Saccharomyces cerevisiae S288C: one gene and its partner. The protein of the gene in region 1 binds, or shares a complex with, the protein of each later gene. Each region holds a gene or a part of one and is shown on either strand. Other genes may lie near its edges. A codon is read from its position in the direction of its gene.

The links. The genes of interacting proteins can lie anywhere in the genome.
Region 2: the proteins of RSC8 (region 1) and NPL6 are in contact, whole or in part, in a cryo-EM structure (PDB 6V8O), measured with the Saccharomyces cerevisiae proteins. Residues at the interface, in NP_116695.3 of Saccharomyces cerevisiae: Ala69 (codon at 1,970), Arg71 (codon at 1,964), Phe72 (codon at 1,961), Leu73 (codon at 1,958), Ser92 (codon at 1,901), Phe124 (codon at 1,805), Thr128 (codon at 1,793), Leu131 (codon at 1,784), Ser132 (codon at 1,781), Leu137 (codon at 1,766), Ala141 (codon at 1,754), Arg144 (codon at 1,745), Asn145 (codon at 1,742), Pro181 (codon at 1,634), Ser182 (codon at 1,631), Phe183 (codon at 1,628), Thr184 (codon at 1,625), Gly185 (codon at 1,622), His186 (codon at 1,619), Phe187 (codon at 1,616), Gln188 (codon at 1,613), Val189 (codon at 1,610), Val190 (codon at 1,607), Leu191 (codon at 1,604), Asp192 (codon at 1,601), Thr193 (codon at 1,598), Pro194 (codon at 1,595), Gln195 (codon at 1,592), Gly196 (codon at 1,589), Leu197 (codon at 1,586); in NP_013809.1 of Saccharomyces cerevisiae: Leu343 (codon at 2,990), Gln347 (codon at 2,978), Asp351 (codon at 2,966), Tyr353 (codon at 2,960), Thr354 (codon at 2,957), Ile356 (codon at 2,951), His358 (codon at 2,945), Ile359 (codon at 2,942), Ser362 (codon at 2,933), Thr363 (codon at 2,930), Gln364 (codon at 2,927), Ser365 (codon at 2,924), Thr366 (codon at 2,921), Thr367 (codon at 2,918), Val368 (codon at 2,915), Leu369 (codon at 2,912), Gly370 (codon at 2,909), Trp371 (codon at 2,906), Arg372 (codon at 2,903), Arg373 (codon at 2,900), Ser374 (codon at 2,897), Lys375 (codon at 2,894), Asn376 (codon at 2,891), Thr382 (codon at 2,873), Ser383 (codon at 2,870), Ile384 (codon at 2,867), Val385 (codon at 2,864), Tyr386 (codon at 2,861), Glu387 (codon at 2,858), Thr388 (codon at 2,855).

Annotation. Positions count from the first base shown.
Region 1 is NC_001138.5:227,013-235,225, forward strand, and holds RSC8 (Rsc8p), read right to left. Parts: upstream 2,175-8,213; coding exon 501-2,174; downstream 1-500. Other genes in the region: anaphase promoting complex subunit CDC26, read left to right, coding at 1-325; IRC5 (putative ATPase), read left to right, coding at 2,368-4,929; OSW7 (Osw7p), read right to left, coding at 5,000-6,532; SAP155 (Sap155p), read left to right, coding at 7,230-8,213.
Region 2 is NC_001145.3:447,350-452,900, forward strand, and holds NPL6 (Npl6p), read right to left. Parts: upstream 4,017-5,551; coding exon 2,709-4,016; downstream 1-2,708. Other genes in the region: m-AAA protease subunit YTA12, read right to left, coding at 1-737; YMR090W (uncharacterized protein), read left to right, coding at 1,896-2,579; AIP1 (Aip1p), read right to left, coding at 4,283-5,551. UniProt on the Saccharomyces cerevisiae protein: Component of the chromatin structure remodeling complex (RSC), which is involved in transcription regulation and nucleosome positioning. RSC is responsible for the transfer of a histone octamer from a nucleosome core particle to naked DNA.

The DNA of each region.
Region 1 (8,213 bases):
CTCTCTGATCGATGACCTGAACGAGCAGAAACTCAAGCAGCAGCTGAATATCGAGAAGACAAAATACTTCCAAGGAAAAAATGGCGGATCGCTGCACTCCAATACAGACTTTCAGGACACATCGCAGAATATCGAAGACAACAATAACGATAACGATAACGATATCGATGAAGATGACGACATGTCATCTTACAACGACAAAGCAGCCTCGGTAGCGCACACCAGAGTCCTCAATTCCTTGCATCTGTCCACCGACAGCAATACCGCCCACGAGACGTCCAATGCAAACGACAACCACAACCCCTTCTACATCCGCGAGGAATAATAGCATATCCGCATACGCACACGCACACGCACACGCGCACGCATCCACATTCACTTTCACTTATAAAATTTCTTCTCTCTAGTTTTATATACGTTGTATTAGAAATATAAAATATGACAATAGTACACTTTGTAGGCTCTCTTTTTTTTTTTTTTTTTTTTTCTTATATATTTTTTTACAATGACCACGGTTTGTACACCTGGGGCTGCAATTTTGCAATGGAGTCGCCTTCGCCTACTTCCTCGCCTTCCTTGCCTACACGTTTCACGCCATGTCCTGTGGCCGTATTGCCGTCTTCGTCATCGCCCTCCTGGTCCTTCTCCACTAGTTGTATGCCCGAGTCTACTTGCTCCGAGATCAGTACCAGTTTCTTCGACACATTCAACTCCTCCAGCGACTTGTTCAGGTCAAGAATCTGTTTACTCAGTGATAATCGGTCGTTCAGCATCTTTTCAGATTCCTTCACATATTTCAGTTTTTCCATCTCCAGTTGCGTTTCTAGATCGCACAGCTTTGTAAACTTGCTCTCTAATTTCTCCATGGTCAGCTTGACTAACTCTTGGATTATCGCTTGGCTTTCTTCAATGTACTTTTCGGAGATCTCTCTCGACTTATCAGAGACCTTACCCAATTTGTCGTCGCCTTGCAGTAGCGTCTGGACAGCATCATTCACGCATTCCATCAACTTCGAACCGGACACACTACCATCGCGGCTGTCGCCACCCTTACCATTCAGCGTTGAACCAACAACTTCTCGGATGTAGTTGTCCTCGATCGGTAAGCTTAGGAATTTTTCAATGCAGTCTTCTACACGCTTGTGCCCACCCACGTGGTCAGCAATCTTCTCCCACTGGTCTTCATACATTTCAATACCCTCCAGCAATAGTAGCATCTCCTGGTCTGACCAGTTTTTTTTAACCGAGTTTCCGTTGTTTTCTAATCTGATGAAATCTGAAGATTGAAAGTTGGCACCGAAATGACCCTCTTGGAAACAACGGGAGCACAGGTTGGTGTCCCGTGCACGCAAATTGTGGTAGCGCACATTGATTGACTCGTTACCGCATGTATGGCAAATGTAAACTTTGTGAATCTGCCTGGAGTTTCTACTTTCGTCTTGTAATGCATTGAAGTCTTGTGCAGAATCGTAAACGTTCTTCTTGATTGTGAGATTAACGGGAAATTCCTTCTTGACTTGTGGTTCCGCTCCATCTCCTCCTTCCACTTCTTGCTTGATCACATTCTCTGGTAAAAATGGCTTTAACCCCTGCGGAGTGTCCAGAACCACTTGGAAGTGGCCCGTAAAACTTGGCCCAATAAGACTGGGCTTGGTCCTGGGGTCAATCTGATAATTGATTAAGCCCCATTTTTCCAAGAACGCGTGAATCTTCACTATCGAGGCAACATCCATGGCAACATTTCTTCTCACAGCGGTAATGGTCAAATATTCGTACGGCGAAAGACGGTACGTGTTGATGATAAAATTTCTTGTGTCCTTATATGCCTTTGGTGTCTTGAACCTTGATGAATCGTTGAAAAAGTCGGGATTGGATCTTTTTTCGATCTCGTGGATCTTCGAAATATCAAACCAAGAGGCAAACGACGGAATAATCACCGGGTGAGTTTGCTTTGCCAGGAACCTAAGGGCCTTCTCCTCCAGTTTCTGTGCTTCTTGCTCGTAATTGATTTTCTTATGAGCTACTTCTGCTCCCAATGTGGCAGATTCCTCCTTCGCCTGTTCCTGTGCTAAGTGAGGGAAAGATGGCGTGTTGGTGCTTGTGGTGGGTGGCTCCTCGGTCGCTTCGTGCGAGTCTACCATAGGGACATCCTTATCCTTTTCAGTGTCGCTCATTATCCTGGCCTTCTATCTACTCTTTGCTTCTCTGCTCTACCCTTCTCTCTATAAACCTCACGAACTAATTCAATGTTGATGAAACTTATTTTTTCCAACTTTTTTACATCAAGCGGGTGACAAAGAGAACGCCGTAATTAAATTATCATAGAAAAGAGTAACGGATTAAGGAAGTATCAAATTTGGCGATGAGATGAGCAGATGCTCAAACGCGGCGCTGATGACTGTTGTTGAGGATGCTGTTGGGGCCAGGGTGGCTGCAAGGACGAGAAACATGAGCAATGGCGTCAATTACCGGGAGAAGGAAGTCAATGACCTAACGGCTGACATTTCAGATTCAGATTCAGATTTGGATTCAGAGGACAATAAACATGGCAAAGGCGACAATGACACTGCCCCCATATGGTTACAAGATGATGTGCATTCAGACGAAGATATTCAGCTGGACTCAGAGGACGATTCCGATACAGAAGCTGTTCAAGCCCAAGTGGTGGATAAATTGGCAAAAGACACGAAATCAGAGCAAAAATCCTTGGATGATGAGCTCTCCGAGATGGATACCAAGACGGTTTCTTTAAAACTTAAGAAACTAAACGAGTTTGTGAGGCAGAGTCAGGTATATTCCAGTATAATCGCCGATACTTTACTACATCGATCTAATGAAGTGGCTAACGCTAATACAAAAGATAACAGCAACTCTGATGATGAAGAACATTCTTCAAAAAAACGTAAAACAAAAAAAAAATCAATAACAGATTTCTTCAAAAAACAGAAAAAGAACGAAGATACAACCACCCAAAACGGCGCACCAGACGATGCAGCAATAAAGCAACCTCGCCTATTGAAAAACTGTATTTTAAAACCTTACCAACTAGAAGGTCTTAACTGGCTGATCACTCTTTATGAAAATGGCCTGAACGGAATTCTTGCCGATGAAATGGGTCTTGGTAAGACTGTTCAAAGTATTGCTCTTTTGGCGTTCATATATGAAATGGACACAAAGGGTCCTTTTCTAGTGACTGCACCATTAAGCACCCTAGATAATTGGATGAACGAATTTGCAAAATTCGCTCCTGATCTACCAGTTCTAAAATATTATGGGACCAATGGTTATAAGGAACGTTCTGCCAAGTTGAAAAATTTCTTTAAACAACACGGCGGCACGGGGATCGTCATCACATCATATGAAATTATTTTAAGAGATACCGACTTAATCATGAGTCAAAATTGGAAATTTTTAATTGTTGATGAAGGCCACCGTCTGAAAAATATAAACTGTAGATTGATTAAAGAGTTAAAAAAAATCAATACTTCCAATAGACTGCTACTAACAGGGACGCCTTTACAAAATAACCTAGCTGAATTATGGTCACTTTTGAATTTCATAATGCCCGATATCTTTGCCGATTTCGAGATATTCAATAAATGGTTTGACTTCGACAGCTTAAATTTAGGCTCCGGTTCCAACTCTGAAGCATTGAATAAGTTAATCAACGATGAACTACAGAAAAATTTGATTTCCAATTTACACACAATTCTGAAACCATTCCTTTTGAGAAGATTGAAAAAAGTTGTTTTGGCTAATATTCTGCCGCCAAAGAGAGAATATATCATAAATTGTCCGATGACGTCTGCACAGGAAAAATTCTATAAGGCTGGATTGAATGGAAAGTTGAAAAAAACCATGTTCAAAGAATTAATCAAGGATTTTTTCACATTGAACGATGAATACATCGGCCACGTTTCTAATCGGTCCATACGAGATTTCATCAATTATAAACTATCTGGTAATGAAACTTCAAATACAGACAATAAAATCAATCCAACCTTGTTGCAAATGGACAAACTATATAAGAAGAACCTGCAAATGGAAATTTCAAATAAGAAATTGCAAAATATGATGATGCAATTGAGACAAATCATTGACTCAACTTTTTTGTTTTATTTCCCATATTTACACCCAGAAGACTTGACTTTGGAAACTCTTTTAAAGACGTCTGGGAAATTACAAATCTTACAAAAATTAATCCCCCCATTAATATCTGAGGGGCACAAAGTGCTTATTTATTCTCAGTTTGTTAACATGCTCGATTTGATCGAAGATTGGTGTGATTTAAATTCGTTCGCGACATTTCGAATTGATGGTTCAGTAAACAATGAAACAAGAAAGGATCAACTCGAGAAGTTTAATAGCTCGAAAGATAAGCATAACATTTTCCTATTGTCCACAAGGGCGGCAGGACTGGGTATTAATCTAGTCGGGGCAGATACAGTTGTCTTGTTTGATAGTGATTGGAATCCACAGGTGGATTTACAAGCCATGGACAGGTGTCACCGTATTGGCCAAGAATCACCGGTTATAGTATATAGGTTGTGTTGTGATAACACCATTGAACATGTTATATTGACCAGAGCGGCCAATAAGCGAAATTTGGAAAGAATGGTTATCCAGATGGGAAAATTCAATAACCTGAAAAAATTGGCGTTAAATGAAGGTTCTTTTTTGAAGGCAAACAAAGCGGGTGTTAATGTCACTAATAAGGACTTAGTCCAGGAGTTATCTATGCTTTTAATGAGCGATGAATCCAATATAGGCTTTGAAAATGGGGGACAGAAAGAAAATAAGGCTACTGAGGGCCAACTGACTGATAAGGAGGTTGAAGAATTGACCAACAGATCTCTTGAAGCGTACAAGGCCAACAGAGTCGTAGATCTGCCGCACGTCAAGCTATTTGAAACAACCTCCGGTCTTTAACTTGGTTATCATACAATATTGTTTTTATTAAATGTTTGTATATATGTACATATACATACCTATATATTGATCAATGTTCTTGCCGTACAAATTCTTCCTCTAGTTGTTCCTTTAGTTCACGGTTTTTGAATAAAGTATCCGCAGTATTCATTCGTTGCAGAAAGGTATCTTGAATATTATTTTTTGTGTTCTGGAAATCAGCTTTTAGTTTAGTAATCCATTCCAGTATCAAAGTCATATCCAGATCATGTTTTACCAGACGGTTCCTCTCAGAAATAACTTTCTTTTTCAATTCCATGAAACGGAGCCAGTTGGAATGATTCTCTTCTATATAGGCAGGATCGTATTGATCTTCCAAATGGAGACCTCTGACGTCCATATATGCCATTCTTTGCGACCATTGACTTATCATTACATCGCCCCACTCTTCGTACACTTCGACGTTTTCAAGACGAATCGATTCTGCCAGTTTAGCCATTTCGGTAAGAAAAGAATCTAATGAATGAAACAGTGATTTTTCAAAGTCTAACAAATGTATTTTATAATTCTTCAGTATCGATGTGATAGATGATTTGGTAATGTAAGCTTCCAGTTCAACTTGACCCGATTCATCAAAATACTTTATTTTATTTTGCACAGGATCGAATTTAGAGGTACAATTAATATCTTTGATTTTTGAATCTAGAAACACTAATTGCTCATTAACGGTAGTGTTAAGGTCATCAAGATTCCTAGTGATTTCTATAGATTTATTTTGCACCTCGGCCTCGAACACAGACTGTATCTCTGAATCCAAAAGTGCCATCGCACTGTGTATTTTCGAATCTATAGCCTTAATCCATGCTTCATATTCCATTTTTAATGATTCTGCCTCGTAAGTTTCCAATTCTGCATGGCTATTGGAACCAATGATAATCTTTGACAAATCCTGCAAAATAGCAGCAGTGACGAGTTGTGAGTTCCCGTGGCCATCCTGTACTCCATCGAACTCGTATTCTTTATTTTCATCCTCAATTCCGACATCATCCTCATCCTCATCTTCATCCTCATCCTCATTTTCATTCTCATCATCCTCATAATCCTCTGTTTCCGAGTCTGTCTCAAAAATGGGTTTGGTGAGCGTGCCATCAGCGCTAAAGGAGCCGTATTTCATCCAATCCGTAGAGGAGTTAAATGGATTCTCTAGTACATTCTTCACATTGTCTGTATATGGCTTTAAATAGTACCAGGCAATCCTTAGATGATTTAATAAAGGTCCCAACTTGGAATGTAGCGAACAGCAGAGCTCATTTAGCCTTAGAAAAGAGAAAATATTGTACCAAAAGCGGTAAAAATATCCCATAATTCTCTTCAAGGATGAGTTGGGGTATCTTTCAATCAGTGGTTTTATCGATTGTGAGTACTTTCCAACTAAATAGTCAGAAACCGCTGAACCTTCAACCAATTTAGAATCGAATAGTGAGCCAACTGAAAATTCAGTATGCCGGCAAATGGGCTGTAAATCTGTGGCAAAGCTTCCCAGACCATTTTGCTGACAGACCAGATACCTTGCAATAAACACGCAAGCCAGCAAAGCAGTCGTTACTTTGAAAACGGCCTTCATGATTTTTAGTAAAGAACTAACCACCTTTTTCTTAGTTAAGAAAAGGTCAATCAGTAACAGAAATATGATAGTAGCAACACCCAAAAAAATGCTATCTTCCAATAGTCAAAAAGGAAGCCTCGATGCCATACAAGTCTCTTCTAAAGTACTATTATGTAATTCCTGTTAAATGATACCTGTATTGTGGCTTAAAAGGGCCGAAATGACAACAAAATGAGTAGGGTTAATTTAATTTTTAAAGAGGGCATTTATCTAAAAAATGAAAGACAACTATAGGGCTGGTAATTATAGAATAGGTCTTAGTAGGGTTATCCCTTCCTCTAGAAAAAAAGAAAGAAAAATAATTTTAAGTGGCCAATTAGAACCAAAACCAACAGTATCGTGGTATCATACGCTCCAAAGCAACTAGAAGAAAGGCCTTATTTGACCATTGGATTCAGTATTTTTTCTCCAAGTAGCGGTTAAAAGACTGAGAGACTAAAGCTAGATAGTGGGTTTGAGTGACTATCCCCTTTTTTCCTCCTCTTTTTTTATTATTTTGATTTTATTTCATTTTGATTTTATTTCAACACGATTAAGACACAAGCGTTACTTCCCTAGACTATAGTCTCTGCCGTTCCCATTCTATTGATTTTTGGAGCAGCAGTTTTTACAAAAGAAAAGAAAAAAAAGACGAAAACAACAAGCCAGAGTAAAGATGTCGTTTTGGCCATTTGGACAGAATCTTAATCACTCTAATATTAATAAGATCCTAGATGAATATTTTCATGTGCTACACGAACTGGAAAGGATTAACCCAAGCGTTGGTAAAGCCATTCCCGCTATTTTCAACAACGTTCAGGAACGAGGTACAAGTGACTCCCTAGATTCTATTCCGGAGGAGTATAGTCATGGTGATGAAGTGAAAACGGCACGTGGAGATCAGAAGAGTCGATTTGAGAAGGATGATCAGCAAGAACGGTATGAGAAAGAGGAAGAGGAACGGAGCATGAACTCTAGCGAATCTTCCACTACATCTTTTTCTTCTGGGTCAACTTCTAAAACTGATTTAGATGAGGAGGATATCAGCAATGCTACTGCTCCCATGATGGTCACCACAAAGAATTTGGATAACTCTTTTATTGAAAGAATGCTTGTAGAGACAGAGCTACTGAACGAATTATCGAGACAAAACAAGACGCTACTTGACTTCATTTGCTTTGGATTTTTCTTTGATAAGAAAACTAATAAGAAAGTGAATAATATGGAATATCTGGTCGACCAACTGATGGAATGTATCTCGAAGATTAAAACCGCCACCACAGTGGATTTGAATAACCTGATAGATTATCAAGAACAGCAACAGCTTGATGATAGCTCACAAGAGGACGTTTATGTGGAATCTGATACGGAGCAAGAAGAGGAGAAAGAGGACGATAATAACAGCAATAACAAGAAGAGACGAAAACGCGGAAGCTCCTCGTTTGGTAACGATGATATCAACAACAATGACGACGACGACGATGCGAATGAGGACGATGAATCTGCTTATTTGACAAAGGCCACCATAATATCTGAAATCTTTTCCTTAGACATATGGTTGATTAGCGAGTCATTAGTTAAAAACCAATCATACTTAAACAAGATTTGGTCTATCATCAACCAGCCAAATTTCAATTCTGAAAACTCTCCCTTGGTACCC
Region 2 (5,551 bases), on another chromosome or scaffold:
TTGTCGGCTTGGTTTTTTCCGTTGTCATTTAACATCACTTTCACCATGGACTTGTTGACAACAATCAACTTCGCAACATAACCTTTTGCCAATAGTTTCTCTCTAAAATCCTGCCACGTTATCTCACTTTGCTCTTCCAAACTGTTGAGGAGATCCAATAAAAACGAAAGGAGGAAAAAAGTTAGTCCTATCTGGAATAAGTTAACATTTTTCGATACAGGATTACTAGGATCATTTAGAGGTGGTTTTGGGGGAGGAGGTGGTGGTGGCGGTGGAATATTTCTGCTATTGTTACCTTCAAAGTAGCCCTGCTCTTTTGTTCTGTTTGACTTGGCTTTTGAAGGACCATTTTCCTCCTCTTTTTCCTTTCTTTCTTCTTGAATTCTGTTAGATTCTTGTTTCAATACAGCATCTTCTAAACGCCTAATACTTTCATCAATTTTGCGTTTCTGTTCTTTCCAGTTAGCCGGTATAGTATTATTTTTAGTTTGTTCGATATATTTTTCTACTTGTTTTCTTATTGCTTCAACCTCTTCGTCTGTGGGAATTTCTTTGTTAAGTTTAGCGTCTTCGTTATTGTCCTCGTTCTTGTTACCGCTCTTATTCTCTTGCAGCCTATTGAGTAGCCGATATTGAGTATGTAAACTCTTGATATGGGTCAAGCCGTAATAGGACCGGAAGCGAACGGGCCTTCTAACTACCTTAGTAGCAATTCTTGACCAAGAAAGTAGCAACATTAGTACTCTTTCTAACTTTAAAGTTGCTTGCCAAGACTCTTGAGTGTGCTATATTGTATTCGTTGGCAGCTCAAAATCTTTCCTTTAAAACTATAGTGGCAAAAGTTAGAGATCGTTTTCACGAGAAAATGATGGGGAAAAATGGACCAAAAGACAAATGTATTCACAATGTGACACCAGATAGCTTGGTGATTAGTATATAGATCTTACAGGACACCGAATAATACCAGAAGGGACTTTCTTATTGAACGAACCGATATGTGCATGCGTTATCCTATAAAGAAATACGTCCGGATGGGATATTCAAACAAGACGCCGGACAAAATAATTCACACATATGGAGGATGTTACGTACATGAGCACAAGACGAACCGTACAAAGAGAAACATACATCATCACTCAGACGATAAGATCATAAATTAGCAGATGACACTTTAGTTTATTCTCTTTGGTAGGTTTTCTACAATCAGAATTATCTAACGGCGAACTTCTGTAGGCAGAGTTTTCGCATCGCCCAATGAGATAATGCACTTTCAAAAGACCACGCTGCACTTGCATCAAATTGGTTTACGAAAGAGCAAAGTCGAGGATTAGCACATTCCGTGTGCCCATACGTTACCATTTTTGACAAAGTTGGCAACATCAAGCGAGACATATCTACAAATATACGTATCAGAATTGTACCCGAAGTATTTCTGGTTATATTCGTTGCTAACCATTTTAACGTATTCAGCCTAGTAGCCTGCAAGAACTATTAATACAAATCGTGAAACAGAAGTTCTTTGAGTTAAAGTACAAAGACAGACAACAGCCCTCGGTGAACCTGTTGGTGTGTGTTTCCTGTATCACAAAACACAAGCGAGCAAAGAAATACGACGTTATAGCTTTTAATAATACGACGAGACAATGTTAGTGGCCGTAATAACTTTCCAACAAAAGTACTTTCCAAACTTTGCTGTTACCTCTGTGATTGTTTAGTACGAAAATTGTATCGCGCTGTCAACAGCAAGGGGCTGCAAGTATTACGTAAGGGTACACTCGAAGTAGGGATATATATTTAAAGTCCCATCGTGACGCTCATAATAGGATACTTTCCCTCCAAATAAAAATTCATTGAAGTTATATCATCGGTATTCATATATTATTGACTTAACAGCCATGTCTCCTATGAAAGTTGCGGTTGTCGGTGCCAGTGGTAAAGTTGGACGTTTATTGATAAACCAATTGAAGGCCAACGATAGTTTCTCAACACCATTAGCGATTGTTAGAACACAGGATCAAGTCAATTATTTCAAGAATGAAGTAGGTGTTGATGCTAGTTTGACAGATATAGAAAACGCGTCCGTTAGTGAGATCACAGACGCTATTAAGGCTTATGATGCCGTGGTCTTTAGCGCCGGTGCGGGTGGTAAAGGAATGGAAAGAATTTTCACGGTTGATCTGGATGGCTGTATCAAAGTTGTTGAAGCATGCGAAAAGGCTGGTATCAAAAGGTTCGTTGTTGTTTCAGCGCTCAAGGCGGAGGATAGAGATTTTTGGTATAACATTAAGGGTTTGCGTGAATACTATATTGCAAAGAGATCTGCTGATCGTGAGGTTAGAAACTCTAATTTGGATTACACTATTTTACAGCCTGGATCGTTGGAACTAAATAAAGGTACCGGTCTTTTGCAACCCCTTGACAAATTAGAAGAGAAGGCTTCTGTTAACTACTCCATTAACAGGGAGGATGTAGCTTCTTTTATTGTGGAAAGCTTGCTACATCCAAATGCAACAGTGAAAAAAACCATTTCGTTGGTAAATGGCAACGAGCCAATGGAAAAATTCATTCAAAGTTTGTAGATCAACCTATTTACGCGTGAAATGCATATGTAGATGAATAGTCAAGAAAAGAAAAAGAAAGTGAGAATATATGAATTTTTTTACCTTGATTTGAAGATAAAAATTTGTTATATTGTTACATTGAGTATACTAAATATATTCGTTGCATTTTTCGAAATTTTGTTGTTCGGTGATAGCCCTTAAAACGTCTTCATCAACAACGTCTTCATAGATCTCTTTCGGGATTTCCGACAGTCCCGTTTTCGGTTTATTCAAATCGTTATCGTGTATAACGGTCTCATACACAATGCTTGTGTCGCTGGGACTATCGTTTTTTGATCTCCTCCATCCTAAAACAGTGGTTGACTGTGTGGATTCTGGTATGTGTAATATATTTGTGTATGCATCTCTCAAGCCTTGTTGATCTACAAGAAGAACCTTCACTCTATCATAAAACAAATCGCTATTAAATCTACTACACGCAGCAGAATGCTGATAGAGCCAATTTGTAGAGCTCAGCTTACTACCTGATGCAATAATATTAGAATTACTCATGTGACCATGTGGCCTGTGTTCAAAGAATTCCACCTGGTTTTTTGCAGGGTTTATGCCATTCTCGGAAGCAGGATACATCATGGTTTCTAAGGCCCTTGCGGATTTATCAATAGGATCACCAGCAAGTTTTCCTTCAATTACATTTCCCTTTGTTCTTAATTCAGAAGCATAATAATCATCGGTTATATGTTTGCCGCCACGAATGATTTTAGCACCAAATTCTTTAAACACGCCTCTAGCGGTGACTAGAGCGATTTGTCTATTTCTATATGAATAAGGTAAAACGCCACGGTCTATCAAGTCGTTCTTTTGAGTTTGATTCAGAATGAACTTATAAAGGTTGGGGTGAGTTTGAAAAAATAAATATGAATCTCTAAAACCCACTATCCTAGCCGGTTCGGTGGCCAGCATAAACTTTCGATTCCCCTTCTCAGTTAATGTGAAGGTGCGCACTAAAAATTCTCTGCCTCCTAATAGATCACCATCTGCAGTTATCTTCGTCTCACCTTCAGGATCATCTGGTAGAACATATTCTTCATTGACCACTTTCAAAGGATTTAAGTTCTCCTCAGCATCATCGATTCCGGGAAATACTGGTTTTTTGAACTTTGAACGGTTTCTAGATCTAGTAACGCCTTTATCCTCTGACAAATCCTCTTCTTCGTCCACGTGCCTCCTTTTGTTTCTTCCGCTTTTATTTATCTGTTCCTCCTCATCACTTATTTCTTCTTCATTCACTCCCTCATTGGCTTCTTCTTCTCTGTAATCATCATCTTCATTCTCATCATTTTCATCAATATCTAAATCCTCAGTATCAATTGCATAATTGGGTCTGTTGCTAGTAGATCTTGACCGCTTCTCATGTTCAACTTCGGAAGCTAGACCTCCCTCTGAATCTGACATTTCTGCTAGATGGTATTTCCTTCTTCAAAAGTAAATGTACTGTATTCAGTAATGCTTAAACTTTATAAAGCTGTTTTCTTGCAATATTTTTGTCTGCTCACAGTAACATGTTTAATAGTTCGAACGGGTTTTTTTTTAAAAGAGCGAAGTAATCAAAGCATTCGGGTAATAATTACAAGTTTATATGGACTGTGGTAAAAACAGTGTAAAACTTTTTTATATCTATTTTTCTAAGGTTACGTAATTGTTTACTTTATATTCTTATCTCACTCGAGGACAACATTCCACCTTTTAATGCAAGCGTCCGCACCAGAACTAACCAAGGTAGATGGTGTTTCCCATAAAAGGTTGTTAACACCGTCCTTGTGAGCATTCAACGCCTTAATGATTTTCATAGGTCTTTTGACGGAGTAAATAAAAATATTGGTGTCTAAAGAACCAGTGGCAACTAAGTCCTCTTCAATTTCCTCTTCGTTTGCTCCCTTTTCAGCAGGTTTCCATGAAATGGCGTTGATTTTACTGGTGTGGAAAGCCCATCTTGAAGTTTTCACTTCTCTTGATTGTAAATCATATAGCAATATCTTGCCCATAACATCTCCAGCAGCGATGTATGTTTCAGATGGCGAAATTGATATGTACGAGGGTTTTGCGCGAAGAGGTGTTTTTAAATCAAAACTGACTTCCAAATCTGATAATTTGAATACCTGAATAGTATTACCTTCTTCCAAACCAACTGCAACGTAATTTTGGCTCAAGCTAACGGCAGAGCCTGGTGAGTTCAGTCTTACACTCTTGATTATATCGCCCGTAAAAGACTGTAATATCAACAAATCATCATCATTTGTTAGTACTGCAGTGAAGCCATCATTGTTCGCACTAGCAACCTTTGGTTGCGATCCAAATTCATGCTTAGTAATACCGTTCACTTTCAAAGTATCATCCCAAGAAATACTGGAGTATTCTTGCGCTTTACTATTATCCAATGATACAATCAAGTTGGAGTGATCTTGGTGCATGGAAGAGCTAGACCATTCCATAATCCTACCATCATATGACCCACTGATTAGTGGGTTGACTGTCAAAGCAGTAATACCCTTGTTATGACCACTAATGGTTTTTAAAACCTCGTCATGTCCAAGTTCATAGAAGTTTAAGGTCCCATCCAGTGAAAGAGAAATAATCCTTCCGTTTCCTGTTGCAACAACACCAACTTGTTGATTTCCCAGTTGTTGCTTGTCTAAGGTCCATTTTTGAACGCATTTTGAAGTCGTGACGTCCCAAACCCTAATGGTAGCGTCTGCTCCTACGGTAGCAAACTTTTGGGAATCAAGCCACGATAGTGCAAATATACCACCTTGAACTGGTTCTTGATCATCCTCTATGTATTTAAGAAACTCACCTGATTTGCCATCAAAGCAAGAAATCTTTCTGTCAGACCCTACCGTAATAACAAATTCACCGCTGTCAGGTGAAAATTCAACATCCCTGACAAATGAGCCTTGTTTGTGGTGTGTTCTGTCACTGGCAGAGAACTT